2 linked regions of the Xenopus tropicalis genome follow. The protein of the gene in region 1 purifies or fractionates together with the protein of each later gene. This does not show direct contact. Links are inferred from orthologs where the notes say so. Each region holds a gene or a part of one and is shown in the gene's direction. Other genes may lie near its edges.

Region 1 (8,022 bases):
AGGGCAGTCGTGCACACAGCTGACTTGTCTGTTAGTTGCCTGATAATAATGCCTGTGGGCTCATATCCGTAGGTACTGGCTCATTTCAGGCTAAAGTTGGCCATTAGTGGGCCAGTCTGGTATGATTCCCAACCAATCAGCTCACAGGCTAAATTGAAGGAAAGAACACAAGGGGCCACATGCTTTATCTGCCTGACCCAACCTATAGACATTGTACATGCATGCACAGATAATGGGCAGCTTTAACCCTGTGTATTTCCCTTTACCCCAGGGGACTGAGAAATTGGTTTGTGCCTTCTCTGTGCTGTGACCCACACTCCATGCACCGTTGGTCCCAGTATACCATACTGGCTTTTGTCATGTTTGTGCAACACACTGGGCCCCAGGCCTTCCCAGTGGATAATTAGGGCTTCCTCTGCTGAATTATAACTTCCAATAGACTTTATTTGGGGAATATTATGAATACAAACAGTTTGTGCTTTCTCATTGCAGTAAGCAGCTGTTTAATAACAGGCACGTGGCTGTGACATTATTGTGTCTCTTTACTCTAATGCCTGCTCCTCTGGAATGTAATACCAGGAAAAGTACATTTATTCATGTATGTACCAGTGTCTGCCCCCTAAGGCATGTTAGGCAGCCTGGGCGTGACAGCTTCCTGTTTAGTTCTGCTGACTCTTTCACTGAAGGAACATTAACCCTGTCGCTGCCAGAGGCCCGCACAAAGAACCATGTGAATCGGCTAAAAGCTTCTCTTTAAGAGAATTAAATATATTTATCAGTAAATGCGATCTTTGGGTGCAGTAATGCAGATTTGGGCTAAAACATCTCCTTGTAGATACTGACTCTCCATTTTTTTTTTCTTTCAAGGTTTCAGAGGAAACTTCCAGAAGTTACTCTTCTACCACAGCAACAACATGTTTAACCTAAGGACTTGTGCCTCTAAACTCCGGCCTTTGACGGCCTCCCAGACTGTACGATCCCTTAAACACAGCAGGCCTGCGGCCCCCAGGACGTTTCAGCAGTTCAGGTGTCTTAGTACACCTGTGGCCGCAGAGCCTTTTCTAAGTGGGACTAGCTCCAACTATGTGGAGGAAATGTACTATGCTTGGCTAGAAAACCCTAAGAGTGTCCACAAGGTAAGGAAGGCGAGCTGGTATTCTGCTGCTTAATGCCTACTGCATGCCAGAGCATAACCAGGGCATGAATGGGGCAAGCTCCAGGCATGATAACGTTGCTGCCACAACTGGAAATGGTCATCTGCTTTGACAAGAGAACCTTAAGGATCATAAAGATTGCCCTAATGGAGCTTCATGTCGTCATCTCAATGGCTGCAGCAGGAGAACCATGTTTGTGGATTAGACAGCTGCCAGTTGTGTTGCCCAGACCAGTTCATGGTTCTTTAAATTGATATAGCCCAAGCATTTTCAGAAGGGGTCTAGCCATTACAGGGAACACTGTGTCCTTAACTGATTAAGATGTTGGTTGTACTATTAAAGCATATACTCCTAAGAGATTGGGAAGCAACCATGATGTGTTTGAAACAGCATAGCAGAAGCTAGCGCATTAACCGCTATGAAAAAGCATACAAGCCTGACTTCTGCTATGCTGTTTCAGGAGGTATATCCGGCAGTGCAGAAACTAGCAGACAGGTGCTGCTAATAATAGAAATAACATATACAGAACGTTTGAACCTCCCAGCATGTTTAATGAATATATATTGTACAAATTGCTGAGGATTCAGTTTTATTTTTTTTGTTAACATCCCCTTTAACCCTATCCAACTCATTGTACAAACTCCCTTTCTACAAAATGCTGATGAGTGGTGTAAGCAGCATGGTTCAGAGGTCATTTGTTTAGCTTTTCATTGGATAGTTTTGGCTGGGGTGGAGTAGAAGCAGACAGATCTGGAGACACCATTTCAGATGACCTGCAGAGAATCATTAAGTATTTGCAAGCATTCCATCCTGCTGCCCCCCCTTCCCCCCAAGACTGTAGCCAAGCAGTATGGCAGCTCATACTCATTTTATACAAAAATACATTGCAGGTAACACAACCATTTTAGATTGTAGATGTGGGATAAATGTTTAGACTCGGGAGGATTTGGGGGTCTGCTTGCAAGTTGACCATCATTGTCAGTGTATAGAGCGTATTGTACCCTGGGTTAGACCACTGTTACATTAACTTGTAGGCAGTACTATTGTGAGACAATATGCAGTTGGGCTTTTTTTTTTTTTTCTCTTTTATATTTAGCTTTTTTCCAGCAGCCCCCCAGCTGGGAATTTTGGCAGTTATCTGGTTGCAAGAGCCCAGTTTGTTGTTGTAGCCAGGCAGTTGTGTGAGAATGAATAGAAAGTTTAATAACAAATCTAATTTGTAGCCTCACAGAGCAAGACACTTTTTTTATTGATGGGTTAGTGACCCCATTTGAAAGCTTGAAGGAGACGAATGCTATACAAAAAAATTTAAAGGTTGCTGGGGATATGGCTTTCTATAGCCTACTCAGTTTACTTTGAAGGTAAACTTCCCCTTTAACCCTCTAATCCCCCAGGCAATTAATAGCTGCAGACATTTTATCCTCACAGCAAATGCCTACACTTATGGGTGCGGTTGATGATCCGATGCCTGTTGCTTAGAAATGTTAAGCCAACGGCGAGTGAGCCTTCTGTCCTGGCAACCAAAATCTTTATGCCGTGGCTCTCCGTGGGAAGGAGACGCACATGGTGGCATCATCCCTTCGTGGTAACTTAGTTTTGGGAATTCAGTGCCCAATTTTGTTGGTTCTTGGTGGTGAAGTTTTCTTGTAATATAGATTTATAGCTCCCTAAGCTTTTGTTGCCTTATGATCTAAGGGAGAGGGGTATTTCCTCATGATAGTATCCAAGTACTGGGGTAAGAATTACCTGCCTAATGTTACTCTGTGCCAGTGCCCAGCTTGCAGCCGGCTAGCAAGGTGCATCTGTTCAAAGAAGGGCTAAAACACTTGATGGGCCTGTATATTCACCCATATACATTGCTGGAACAGTCCAGGCATGAAAATCTTTAAATACCTGCTCACCGGGATGTGCCATTTGCATTGGAATAGTTACACTGACTTGCCCTTTGGGCTGAATGTAAGCCTAAAAATACTCTCCTACTGTGCTTCACTATAGTAAAGTGCGTGTTCCCTGGGTTGGGCCGTTGTGCGCTACTATAGGAGCCATTAGCAGAAGGTGTGGCAGGCTCTTGGAATAAATATACCCAACTGGTTTCATTACATAATTGCTGGCTACAAGGAGAAGAACTTGATCAACACCATTTCTTAAACTGGCCCCAAGGATCAGCCTTATTAACAATGTGTGGGGTGGGCTAGGTGGCTTTTTATGATGGTGGTTCTTACAGTGAATTGTAGGTTGGTCATTGTGGATCTGTACATAGTCCTGCGGTCTGTCCATCTGTGCTCACCCAGTGCAGCTCCAGATAATAGCACCTGCTCATTATTTCAGCTGACAGGAAATAATGCACTGTAATAGGAAGGGGTGTGGGGGTGAAATACACACCCCCTGTCATATCATTGGCTAATATAGCGTAGCATGCATGCCCTTGTGTCAGCACAGTGCATAATATGAGCCAGGGGGGCTACGGAACTGGCAAATATTAGTGATGAGTTTTCCTGTTTCGCTTTGCCAAAAAGTATGTGAAACTGCAAAATTACGCAAAACGCATGGAAGTTAATGGGCTTCTCTTTGCAGTTACCACAACTTTGTTTTCATGGCTATTAGAGTCTATGGGTGTTTTAAGGCAAAACGTTGTGAAATATTTCTCTTACCACTAGCACATTGTTAGCCTTTTCATAAAAATATTTTTCTATTAATACACAAGCCATGGATATGCTGTAAATGATATCCTTATAAATAGCCATTAGTGATGTCATCCATTATAATCAGTAATGTCATTTCTGTCACTGAGGACTTCTAATACCCTCAGAGTTTCATGACCTGTAGAAAAGCACTCTGCCTTCATGCCCATGCTTTTATATGGTCATGGAACTTTTTTTGTTTAATAGGGGGTACATTATTCACACTATATATAAATATATTTCTTCAAGAGAGGGTGTAATACACCCGCGTGTATGTTGAGGGGTATAGTTTCCCTTTGCATAAGACGGCAGTGGTGCTGCTCAGGGTTAGAAGTCACTCAGTCCTGGCTGGTTTGTACTGGAATTAATCCTACGTCATCTCTACCTGGCTGGGCTCCAGTGTGAGGCTGGAATGCCGTCTCACTCACAGGCCATTACGGCTATTAACTCCTCTCTGCTGGGATAGGACTGTACCACTGCACATTGTGTTTTCCCTCCACCGTTCTCTTTGGGTGATTTAACCTTTTAAGGTGCAGAGTTCTCTCTCAAAATAATATTTTTGAGGTATTTCTGCTTAATATTTCACATTAGGTTTCTTATCTTGCATTTGTCTGCACTCTAGGGATACCATAACATGATCTGTGTTATAACCAAGCCCCCTGGGTCAGTGTGGCAACCTAGCCTGGTAGAGGAAGAGTTAACAATGGCAGTCATGTGTGATGGAAAGACTGCAAAGGAGCGCCTAGGAATTGACATGGGAACTGATCCCAAACTCCGGCAGAGGACAGCCTGTCCCTTGTGCCTTAAAGTCACTTTATTATTGACAGAGCCGGTGGCACAATGAGTGGGAGCAGTGGCTAATACATACAAACCAGCCTGCTCCGCCTGAGGAAAGCCTATACCCCCATTAAATTTACAATATGCCCCGCTCTGCTGGCTCTCCTGGCCATCAGGACTGTAATTACTGTCAAACAAGATACCCTGACCCTCTCACATTCCCCCACTCACCCTTCTCATGACTCCCCGGCAGGCCTAAAATAGCAGCCATCCCCTGACCTTGTGGTTGGCCTATAAACTAGCACTCTAGCTAGCAGCCTTTTCTTTACTTTCTCTCTCCTCATGGGGCTTCCATGCCAGCATTGTGTACCCCAGTGCCATGGGGACCTAACGGAGAATGTTAGGAGTGCAATAGGTGCTGCCATAGTGCAAATATAGGCCTTACAGCTGTGTACATAACATATAGCGTGGTTGCCTTCTCTCCAGGGACTCTGTGTTCCAGTGCCAAAGGGAAATGCCTTGCTGACTGTATGAGAGTGCCAAATCCTTTATATCCATACCAAGCCCGATTGTGTGATGAAATAGCAAGAGAATTTACTGTGGTAATGCATACGTTTGCTTCTTTTCCCTTTTTAGTCATGGGACATCTTTTTCCGCAACGCAAATGCTGGCGCATCCCCTGGTGCAGCTTACCAGAGCCCGCCTCCTCTCGGCAGCAGCTTGTCCACCCTTACCCAGGCCCAGTCGTTGGTGCAGGCCCAACCTAATATAGACAAGCTTGTGGAGGATCATCTCGCTGTGCAGTCGCTCATCCGTGCTTATCAGGTACAGAGGATCCTATTGTGCCCAGCTTTATACACTTGCACTGAGTATCTCAGTCTTTGATTGATAGTTGCATTGCAGAAAAGAGGAAAAAATGTGCATTTTACTTTTGTTTTGTTCCCCCAAGCGTCTGTAAAGTTGCTGCACATTTCGCTTGCTGGAATCCGCCATTGCCTCTCTTGCCGAGTGGTCACAACTTTAAAGTCTCCCGTTTGTTCTAATCCCATTGCAGATTACAAGAAGTTAGCAGGGGGCATGGCCTAGCACCTCAGGGGTGTGGTTAGTTCAATGTAGCTTTTTCTTATATGACTTTCTTATAACTGTCGTGAAATACATCTCCCAGCATCCTCAGCCTGCAGCCGATGGCTAGGAGCTTGTAACAAAGAAGGCAACCAGTGGGTTTTCCAGGGGATTTTCATGGCACCACAGTTTGGGGGGGGGGGGGGGGGGCTGGAGGAAGTGTGGCCCATCTTTTTAACATGTTTTGTCATTGCTTCCAGGTGAGGGGTCATCACATTGCAAAGCTTGACCCGCTTGGAATTAGTTCTGTTAATTTTGATGGGGCTCCGGTGATAGTCGGATCTCCAAATATGGGTGAGAATCATTTTGTCAGACTTGTTGTAACTTTTTCTCTTTTTCCTGTGCTTTTTCCTCTTCTTGTTATCTTTACCTTTCTGTGTCCTCTTCACCCAACTGTCCCTTTCTGTGCTTTGCCACCTTTCCATCCTTTCTGCCTCTTCTCCTCCCCTGCCCCCCCCAACCTGCCTTCCCCTGTATCTGACTGCAACTCCCACTCCATGCTTATCTGCACCTGCTCCCAATCATCTTCCTACTGTTCCTACTGTCTATTTCAACCCCTCCCATGTCCTGTCCTTGGAACCTTGAATTCATATAGATCCGTGGGCACCATGTTGCTCAGCTTGACCCTCTTGGCATTCTGGATGCAGATCTGGACTCCTGTGTGCCAGCAGATATTGTCACTTCCTCAGACAAACTCGGTAAAGGCTAATGTGCTAGTGTCACTGCTTCTGCACCTCGCCATCACCACCCCTGTCTGTCTGACTACCCCCCCCCCCCTCCGCTCGCTAGAATACCAGCCACGAGATCACAACTAACAGCTGCGGGGTCTGTGTGCTGATCCTCTGGGGCCCCTATAGGTCCCGCACAGGACCCCTCTTGGCGTTTCAATAAGCAGGCCTTGTGTCACAGTAAAAGTAGCACTCATTATTGCTCTTCACTCCACTCTACTGTAGAGGTGACAATCATTGGCATCAAATAGTAAAAGGGAGGCAGATTCTACGATTTCATTGGTTTAGAACATGTGGGTTTATACTTCATGAAATCAATCTCTTCTGTTTCCATCTATAAACAAACATAGCCACATCATTTATAGAAAGGCCGGGCATAATATCAGCAGTACAACTCTTGAGACAGTGGAGAGGGTTTACATCCAGCAGAAAGGTGCTATAACCCCGGGACCCCTCCATCCTGTAGCTTGCCCCCCAAAATAAACAAGCTGTTAGTTTGACCTCTGTCTGTTGAAAGGGATTATAACTCTCAGGCTATCACGCTGCTGACAAGCTAGCACGACTAACCTAGACTAGTGCATCCAGTAACCAGCACTAACAGAATATTTGGGGCATAATGCATGTAGTGTGTGTATCCGGCTGGCGCCGTGTCTGCTTTGGGTGTAGGGCATGTTGGTTGGTGGCATGTCTGTGTGTGGTTTGTTTGTGAGTACAGGAAGCTGTACTGTTGGTGTATGTACATATGGCCACCAGGCATTTACTCTCATGTTTGCCAATTGTTCTGGAGATTGACTCTGTTCTGCAATGGACTGTGGACTGCTAGACAGTACTTGCCCTAGGTTAAGCTGTGAGGTGTTCCGGAGCTCTCCAGTATAACTTGTATGACTCCAGGTGCCACTCTTTCCATTGTGAGTTTCCATAAGTGACAACGCCACAGTTAGACTGTCGGTTCATTCTGGTCAGAACTGGCCTAGTACAGCTATCCCTCGGCTCATTCTGGTTAGAGCCAGGTTCCCTTCCTATAGTGCATTATTGCTGTCTGGAGCAGTGGATCCTACCTAGTTACCCTTCTGTGGCCCAGAGTGTGATGCACCCTCCTGAGTGGAAGCCACATTTTTCCAAGTGCCATCGGTATCCTTCATAGATCATAAAATAGTCATGTTGCCTTCCTTTCTCTCGTACAGTAGTTCTGCCATGCTTTATGGCACAATCTAGGATTATAACAGCATTTAGACCATGTTTGCATCGCTGCAGGATTCTGAGCCCTTATCTGGATTAATTAGTACAGTGACTGAGATCTAGAACGCTGTTCCCCCTTGAGCCGATATATTATAATTAGTGCAGTGCTGCCACTGCCAGCCCCTGTTATGTCATACGTTAACGGTAGTGAGTATTCGTTAGTGTCGGAAATATTTCCAAGCCTCCTGGCACCACTGTCTCCCCAATGTAATCCACACAATGATGCCCTGTAACCCATGTTGTGTTCCTGGAACCAGCAGGTAAGAACCTTGTGCTTGAGAGGTTATAGGGTGCACGGGACACTACAGCTGCTGCAGGGCT
Region 2 (8,022 bases), on another chromosome or scaffold:
TCCAGTTGTTAAATTATTTTGTATCGCCTTGCCAGTCTTTCTTGTTAGTCCATCTATAGATTGTGAACTAAGTTCCTGGCTCTTTTATTAGTGCTATGGTTTTTAAGATATTTGCCAAAATTTGCAAAAAGTACAGAAAAAACGAAAGTGTCATCAAATTAACAAGTTCATGTTGACATTTTAAATTGTAAGCTCTTTTGGTAACCACTTCTGTCAATTTACAGCACATGCTCTGGGCTGCTCTCACTGCAGCTTAGGGACTGGCTTACAATGTACACAATTCTCAAGAAAATGTTCCCCTTTCTGATTAGTAATTAACGAAGACAGCATATATATATATATATATATATATATATATATATATATATATATATATATATATATATATAAAATTAAATTAGTAATCGGCACTGCTGTATCCAATATTATGACAAATGCCATATCACTTTCTCTTAATGTTTTGATAGTTTCCCCTTTGCTTAGCTTCTTACCACCAGCGCAGAGCACCCTGAGCACGTGCAGTGTCACTGACCCTTAAAAAATTGCCTCACAAATCCAAGTTTACTTACTTTCTGCTTCAGTTGTGATAATTTTTGACTGCTCCCCAAGCTTAACTTTTTCAACAGCTGTACACTGAGTGTCTATAGTACAAAAGCGATGCTTTATGTTTGCTATTTTTTACAAACATTAATAAAAACTTCAAAAAAAGTGTCCTCCAATCAAGTTACTATGTTTGAGCAAAAGCATTTTCCAGATATAAACAATATCTTTCATTTAGTAAAAAAGAAAAGCTATACAAATCATCCATGGTTTGTAAGAGTAATGTCCACTTTAAGGGGCACCTAAGCATAAAATTGATATTTCAGTCAGTGCCGGATATAAACAATCTTTCCATCATTAAAAAAATTTCAGTACAGCTTTTGATCAGGTGACCCCTCAGTAGTTGTAATACAAACCAGTACAAGCAGAAATTATTTTCAGTAGGAATTTTATTTACAAATACCTTAAAAAAAACACTCAAAAAATTTGATTTGATTAACATATATGAAAAAGTTGCCTAGAATTACATATTGGCTCCTTGATGCAGTCCTTGGACCGACAGGCAGTATACCCACCATTTTCATTTAAACTTTTTGGCTATAGAGCCAAACTGTCAAATTATCCTGGTATTGTTCACCCGTAGGTGGGCATATCGGGAGACATGCCCAATTTGGCAACCTCACTGAATGAGTGGATTGGACCGTGTGTGACACAGGATGTTGCAGGTTTTTCATGGGGAACAGGGGCAAGTGATTAAGGTTAAATTGATCACTACAATTGTTCCTGAGAGCACCCTGTTAATCAATTTAGATAAGGGCCACTGATCCATACTCGTACACACAAAGGAGAAAGGAGGTGTAATGAAATATATTCAGTTATACAATTAGACTAATATATATATATATATATATATATAGGTAAAAAGTGTCGACACTCACAGGGTTTGCATAAAATACTCACAGACAGCAAGTCATAGCCAGATGCAATAAGGTGAGGTTTATTAGTCCAAGGTTTCGGTTCCTTACTAGAACCTTCGTCAGGGAAACAAGTGTGTGCAAAGAGCAGGATTTAAATACAGTATTTGGCGCCAAAGAGCGTGTTGCTCTTTGGGCGCCAAATATACAGTATTTTTGCAAATATTTTGTTGCCGTCGTAACTTTTTCGTATATTTTTGGTGACTTTTTTGTCGCCATAGCGAAAAAATCGTATTGTTGTGCCGAGTATGAAAGTTTTGGATTGATTCAAGCTTCAGTATCGTGAATTTCCTTGGGCCAGGTTGGAGCTGCAGAGTGCCATTTATTCCTCTGTGAGGCTTCCAAAATCATGCAAAGTCGGAAAGGTTTTTCCGCAGTTTACGATCGTTCAATACGATAAAGTCGCAACGATGACGAAATAGTCGCGCAAAATACGATAAAGTTGCAACGGCGACGAAAAAGTCGCAAAATTTTCGTTTCCAATCCGAATTTTTGCTATTTGGGATTCGAATTCGTGCTTTGGTAAATCTGCCCTATAGTCTAGTCATTAGATCACCTGGCCAAATGAGCTGATCTTAACCTAAATTGCTTGCTCTAATGCGAAACTAAATAACTTTTTATTCTCTCTTTGGCACTTAGGGCCCTGGTGAGGCACAGAGTCGCCCTCTTGTAGGTGGGTATCTTTTATCTGTGTCCACAGTCGATTTCAGGATTTGTGAGTGATTTATTGTTTGTTTGCATTTTAGAGATATCTGGGTGCTGTATAACACCAGTTACTGACAGCCAGAAGCCCAGGTGAGTCTAACAAAAAATTAATGGTGTTAGATACACTTTATTTCAGATATTTTTCTCCTATTTTCCTTTCTTATTTTTGTTTACTCCTCAGAGTATCTAGCTCTGTTCTGAGCCAAGTGCGATTCTACAGAACCTCTCTTGTTTACCGTGAGTGAGCACAATTGTAGTCTGGGGGGTGCAGTTTACTCCATTGTTTTTGCTGCAGTCCAAATAATATATGTTTTCTTATATGCTTATTTGTCTTTTTAACTGTTTCCACGCTGATGTGTAGGGCAGGATGTGGTTACTGTCAATACTCCAGCATTTGCAGAGTCTGTAACGGAAGGAGATGTCAGGTGGGAAAAGGGTAAGTATGGTGTTATACCTCCACCTAAGCAATGGAAAACGCTGATCATTTCCAGTCCTGCCTATTTACATAAATGACTATAGACCAGTAGTCTGTATGAGAATGTTAATAGGGTGGTTCATCTACAATGTGTCACTTAAGTTGGCCATACACGTGGCGATCTGACGATGTTTGGTCGCACGAAACATCGTCAGATCCGCCACACACCATTCAGGGCTGAATCGGCAGGTAAGGAGGTAGAAACAATAGGATTTCTACCTCCTTCTGCCGATTCAGCGCTGAAGGGAGATTTTGGTCAGGCGCCGATCGGCGAGTCGCCCGATATTAGCAGCTTCCTGCAATATCGGTCGACTCACCAACATACCATACACGCACCGAATATCGTACGAAACAAGGTTTCGTTTGGTGTGTTTGCTACAGTAACACTACTATAATTTATATAATAAGCTGCTGTGTAGCCACGGGGGCAGCCATTCAAGCTGGAAAAAAGGAGAAAAGGCACAGGTTACATAGCAGATAACAGATAAGCTCTGTGGAATACAATAGTGTTTTATCTGTTATCTGCTATGTGCCTGTGCCTTTTCTCCATTGAATGGCTGCCTCCATGGCTACATAGCAGCTTATTTATGTAAATTATAGTAGACTTTCTGAAGTAAACACACAACTTTTACCAGTGCAGGGCAGCAGCACATTATATTTTAGTTACTTTTATACACTTTCATTTTTTGGTGTTACTGTTCCTTTAAGGAAATAAAATAGTGTTTATCTGTTTGAAACCTGCCATGTAGTGCTGTTGTACTGCAAAATGGCCAGTACTGCTTTTAACTAACTTTTGGACCGGTTCTGATGCAGCTATTTGCCTAAACCTTTGTGTTTTGTGCCACTATTGATAATTCTATGTTGTATCTTGCAGCTGTTGGTGACACAGTCTCTGAGGATGAAGTGGTGTGTGAGATTGAAACTGATAAGGTTTGTGTGCAAATTACAACAAATGTGTGTGTGTATATATATATATATATATATATATATATATATATATTATTTATTTATTTATTTTCAAACAACCTAACATTTTATATGAAACCCTGTACTCTTAGACCTCAGTTCAGGTACCATCCCCATCTGCAGGGGTAATTGAGGCTCTTCTTGTCCCCGATGGAGGAAAAGTTGAAGGAGGAACACCACTATTTGTGCTGAAAAAGTCTGGAGGTATGTGAATTATCGGTCACTCAGCGAAGCTGATGAGATGGTCACGAAAAGAAAAAAAGAGCTAAATATATGCTTCAGATGCACGTGATGTTGGGTGAGGCTGTAAGGAATTATACACTCCAGCACTCGGTCTGTCACTCACCTGGTACACACAGATCTAGCTAGTGCAATTGCACCCCTAAGACAGCCCTAATACCTACAAAAGTTCACTGCCACCACACATAGTTACTTCAGGCTGTGTGAAATTGGCAACTCATACCTATCAACACTGTATGACAGCAGTCAGAGGTTTAGCTTCTAGTGATTCACAAAGCACTCCAGCAGAAAACTTTCAGAAAACTTTCTTTCAGCAGTCAAATGGTTAAGTAGCATATTCGTGAACAAACTATTACTTTCAGCACACTGAGAGTTAAGGTATGCTTTCATACAGGCTATGAGTTTGTTTAGAGCATTAAGAACAAACTTATAAAATTTTAACCTTTAATGTAAAAAAATTAGATATTACATAGGGACGTAGTAATAGAAAGTTATAAGTTACAAAATGTAAATAAAATCACATGCATTACTGGCTAGAAATTCCCTTTGTGTCTCCTGAAGCAAAAAATCTGCATGCAGTCTAACATTTGGATCCTCAGATTGCTTACTAAATACCATGAGATTGGGTCTGCTTTATGTTTTCATACTTGGACATGTCCTCTTGTTAAAGGGTAGGAATGCACAGGATCAAGTCATTTATACTCGTGGTTCCAGGCCAGTTTCTGCAATACTTTAATGGTACTTATCAGTACCAAATATCAGCAAAATATTGTCATGCTGTATATTGTGTAGGTGGGCAGTCAGAATGGTACCTAACATGAGGGGTTTCTGATAATCAAGCCCCTCAGAACCCTTCCCTGATGGGTATAAGATGGCCCTGGTGGGTATCATTTATAATCATGTGGCCTCATAATCAGCATGTGAAACTTAAGTCAGAGGGTATATTGATCCATTTTTGTAATCTATGTGATGTCCCGTAACTCTTTCCTTAGATCATTAGTTCGAAAGGAAACCAACTGGAAAAATGACCTGGACCTGACCAGTCTGGCCACCTAATTACACAGCCCCATGCTAGAATCTCTTATCGAGTCTCCTATGGTGTTATGTAATAAAAGGCACTAAGTGCCCAGGAGCAGTAAGTAACCCATTGTAACCATTCAGTAGGTAGCATTACTGGTCACCTGTTTAAAACCAAACACTGTTTTGGATGCTGTGGGTTTTTGTTCCTGGGCAAACATAGTGCCCTTTATTACTTATGGGGTTTGTGTCTTGAGACCAAATGTTCTTATGTTTACCCTTACAATGCTAGAGCTACTTACTACTGCTCTTGCATGACAATGCATACACAAAAAATGTGTCTTAAATGGCACAAGGTTCATTGGTTTGTTGGGGGTGTAATAATAATGTGTATGTTTGCTTGATTTTCTTTTTTCTCCACACTTTAAAAAGCTGCTCCTTCTAAGGCCAAACCAGCTGAGACTGTGGCAACTCCACCTACCCAAGCACCCAAACCACCTACACCTTCTGACCCCTCATCTGGGCCCATTCCTACTGTCATCCCACCGGTGCCTCCTGTATCTGCACAGCCTTTGGAGACCAAACCTGGTAATGGGGGGCAGGGTACATTCTGTTTTATCTAAACTGCAAATGCAGTAGTTTTGCAGACATATGTTATAGAATTTGTGTCTTTAGGGATCTAGTTATATTGAAGATGATTATATATGTTCACTGATGTGTTAAAGAAGAGATTTGTGATTGGAAGGGAACATGTTTTATATAGATGCCATGTTATTTGGAGAAAGAATTGTTAGCTCAGTGTGGACATTTATAATTTATTTTATTATGCAGTGTCTGCAGTAAAGCCATCTTCTGCTTCTGTTATGGCTGATGCTACTCAGCCAGCAAGTGCACGATCAGAGCATAGGGTAAGTATGCAACTGTTACAGACTGGTTTATAAATCTTGTTTGGTTCTCCTGTATTGTGCTTCCAAATTGTTTTTAAACAGCATCTGCCTGTGTTAGTTCATACATGCCTGAGCAGATCCAATAAGGAACATTACAATAAATTACAATAATTGACTTTATGGAGTGCATATCTTTTCTTCATAATCTATATGGCAACTATCAAAAGACCATACTGAGACCTGCATGATAAGGCTATAATGTATATATTTATTCATCAGCCAGCTAATATACATGTGAGTGGGAACCAGGCTGTGTAAAAGGGCTGGCCAGGGTACTATGAGGTGGAAAACACTTGTTTGTTTTTGTCCTCCTGCAATGTAGTGTTACATAGTGTACCATTTCCTCCTAGTAGTATTTTATTTTGTGGGAAGCGGACAGTGTTTATCTAGTTCAGTAAGGCCTGTTTCCTTTGCACTCACGTTAAGGTCAAGATGAACCGAATGCGTCAGAGAATTGCACAGCGGCTGAAAGAAGCACAGAACACATGCGCCATGCTGACAACTTTCAATGAAGTTGATATGAGGTCTGTGTAATTGGTAGGGGAAGGGGAGAAGAAGAGAAGCACTGTATGTTAGTGTGTGTGTGTGTCAGGGGCTGTTCTGGTGTGTGAGGGGACCAAAGTGTGTAGGTGGAACATGTGATGTTGGTTGTTTTGAAGGAGCATAACCTATTTGTATAAGTACAACATTTTAGCTCATTGTTTTTGTAACTTCTTTCACAAGGATATCATCTGTTTTCTACCATTAACTTTTTCTATCTTATACATAGTAACATTCATCAGATGAGATCCATGCACAAAGACTCTTTCTTGAAGAAACATGGCTTGAAATTAGGATTCATGTCAGCCTTTGTTAAAGCTTCAGCCTTTGCCCTGCAGGATCAGCCAGCAGTCAATGGAGGTGAGATAATTTATGCCTTCTATTCTTGACATGGTCAGAAATCCTCATATTGGTACCCATTCTAATTGTCAGTGTGTGCATTATTATCCAGCAGTTTCAGGACCATAAAGGAGAACTAAATCGTACCCAAATAGGTAGCCCTTTAGCAGGGAAGATCTGTGTCTATAGATAGATGCCCCAATAGCTCTTGTTTTCTTCTGATTCACTGCACATGCTCTGTGCTGCTGTCAGTTACTGAGATTAAGGCTGATGCACAATATAGTGTATTTACAGAGTATAAATGTGGTGATATAAGGCTAATTAATAAATAATACAGATTGTTAGTAAATGGCATCTCTGAAACCAGTGCAGCTACAATAAGAATTTAATCAGTCCTGTAGCATCAGCCTCTATGACAGGCAAACCTAATTTTCTGCTTGATAATTTGTGACAACCCCTAAGCTTAGCTTCTCAGCAGCTGCTCGGAGTTCATTGAGCATGTGAGTGTCACTGACACTTCTAACAAGATCCAATGTGGGGAGCTCCTGTGACAACTTTGAAGACCTGGGTCATTACTGTTAGAGATGCTGACCCTCTAGGCTGATGTGATAAGTTCACTATATAATATATATAGCATTTCTCCTTTAAATCAGTCTTTCCACTTTGTAGTGCCAAACTTTATACAAGTTCACCTAGCTCTAAGGAATACTATAGCCTTGTCTTTTTTCAAATTAGGTCACTCTAAACATTTTGGTCCTGCACAGACCTTGTGATGATTACAAGGTTAGATCTTAAAATTGACTAGAATAACTACCACATTTTAAAATTCCATCCCATTACTCATGAATAGTTATCTCTAAACCCCATTCTGCTCTTTTTTATTGACAAGAATTATTGTGCTTAAATCTTCATGGCAAGCTTATGACACTGTTGAGTAAATATTTACTTGATCACTACCGTTTGTTTTTGGTAGAAGACCCTCGTACATAGCATATTTTGGATTATTTGAGAAATAAAACAGGGCCACTCTTTTGTTGTAGTGATCGATGATACAACCAAGGAGATTGTGTACAGAGACTATATAGACATCAGTGTGGCGGTGTCTACCCCCCGGGTAAGAACCTGCTCTGCAACCAAATATCGTTATTTATATTAATGGGGAGGCATTAATACATAGTAAGGGGAATGCTAGAGGGGTAACAGCTTACATGTATATGGAGATATAGCACTGTGTTTAATAGACATTTGTGAAAGCGCTTTATGGATATTGCAGTATTAC

The links. The genes of interacting proteins can lie anywhere in the genome.
Region 2: the proteins of ogdh (region 1) and dlst fractionate together in Homo sapiens (co-fractionation; 3 studies listed by BioGRID). This does not show direct contact. The link is inferred for Xenopus tropicalis from reciprocal best matches to the Homo sapiens genes OGDH and DLST.

The regions. Positions count from the first base shown.
Region 1 is NC_030679.2:126,369,861-126,377,882, reverse strand, and holds part of ogdh (2-oxoglutarate dehydrogenase, mitochondrial), read left to right. Parts: intron 1-867; 5' UTR 868-914; coding exon 915-1,136; intron 1,137-5,248; coding exon 5,249-5,437; intron 5,438-5,934; coding exon 5,935-6,028; intron 6,029-6,329; coding exon of another isoform or gene 6,330-6,432; intron 6,433-8,022. UniProt on the Homo sapiens protein: 2-oxoglutarate dehydrogenase (E1o) component of the 2-oxoglutarate dehydrogenase complex (OGDHC). Participates in the first step, rate limiting for the overall conversion of 2-oxoglutarate to succinyl-CoA and CO(2) catalyzed by the whole OGDHC.
Region 2 is NC_030684.2:82,186,076-82,194,097, forward strand, and holds part of dlst (dihydrolipoyllysine-residue succinyltransferase component of 2-oxoglutarate dehydrogenase complex, mitochondrial), read left to right. Parts: intron 1-2,153; coding exon 2,154-2,187; intron 2,188-2,260; coding exon 2,261-2,309; intron 2,310-2,400; coding exon 2,401-2,456; intron 2,457-2,580; coding exon 2,581-2,655; intron 2,656-3,568; coding exon 3,569-3,624; intron 3,625-3,752; coding exon 3,753-3,864; intron 3,865-5,349; coding exon 5,350-5,505; intron 5,506-5,748; coding exon 5,749-5,825; intron 5,826-6,290; coding exon 6,291-6,388; intron 6,389-6,633; coding exon 6,634-6,764; intron 6,765-7,783; coding exon 7,784-7,857; intron 7,858-8,022. UniProt on the Homo sapiens protein: Dihydrolipoamide succinyltransferase (E2) component of the 2-oxoglutarate dehydrogenase complex. The 2-oxoglutarate dehydrogenase complex catalyzes the overall conversion of 2-oxoglutarate to succinyl-CoA and CO(2).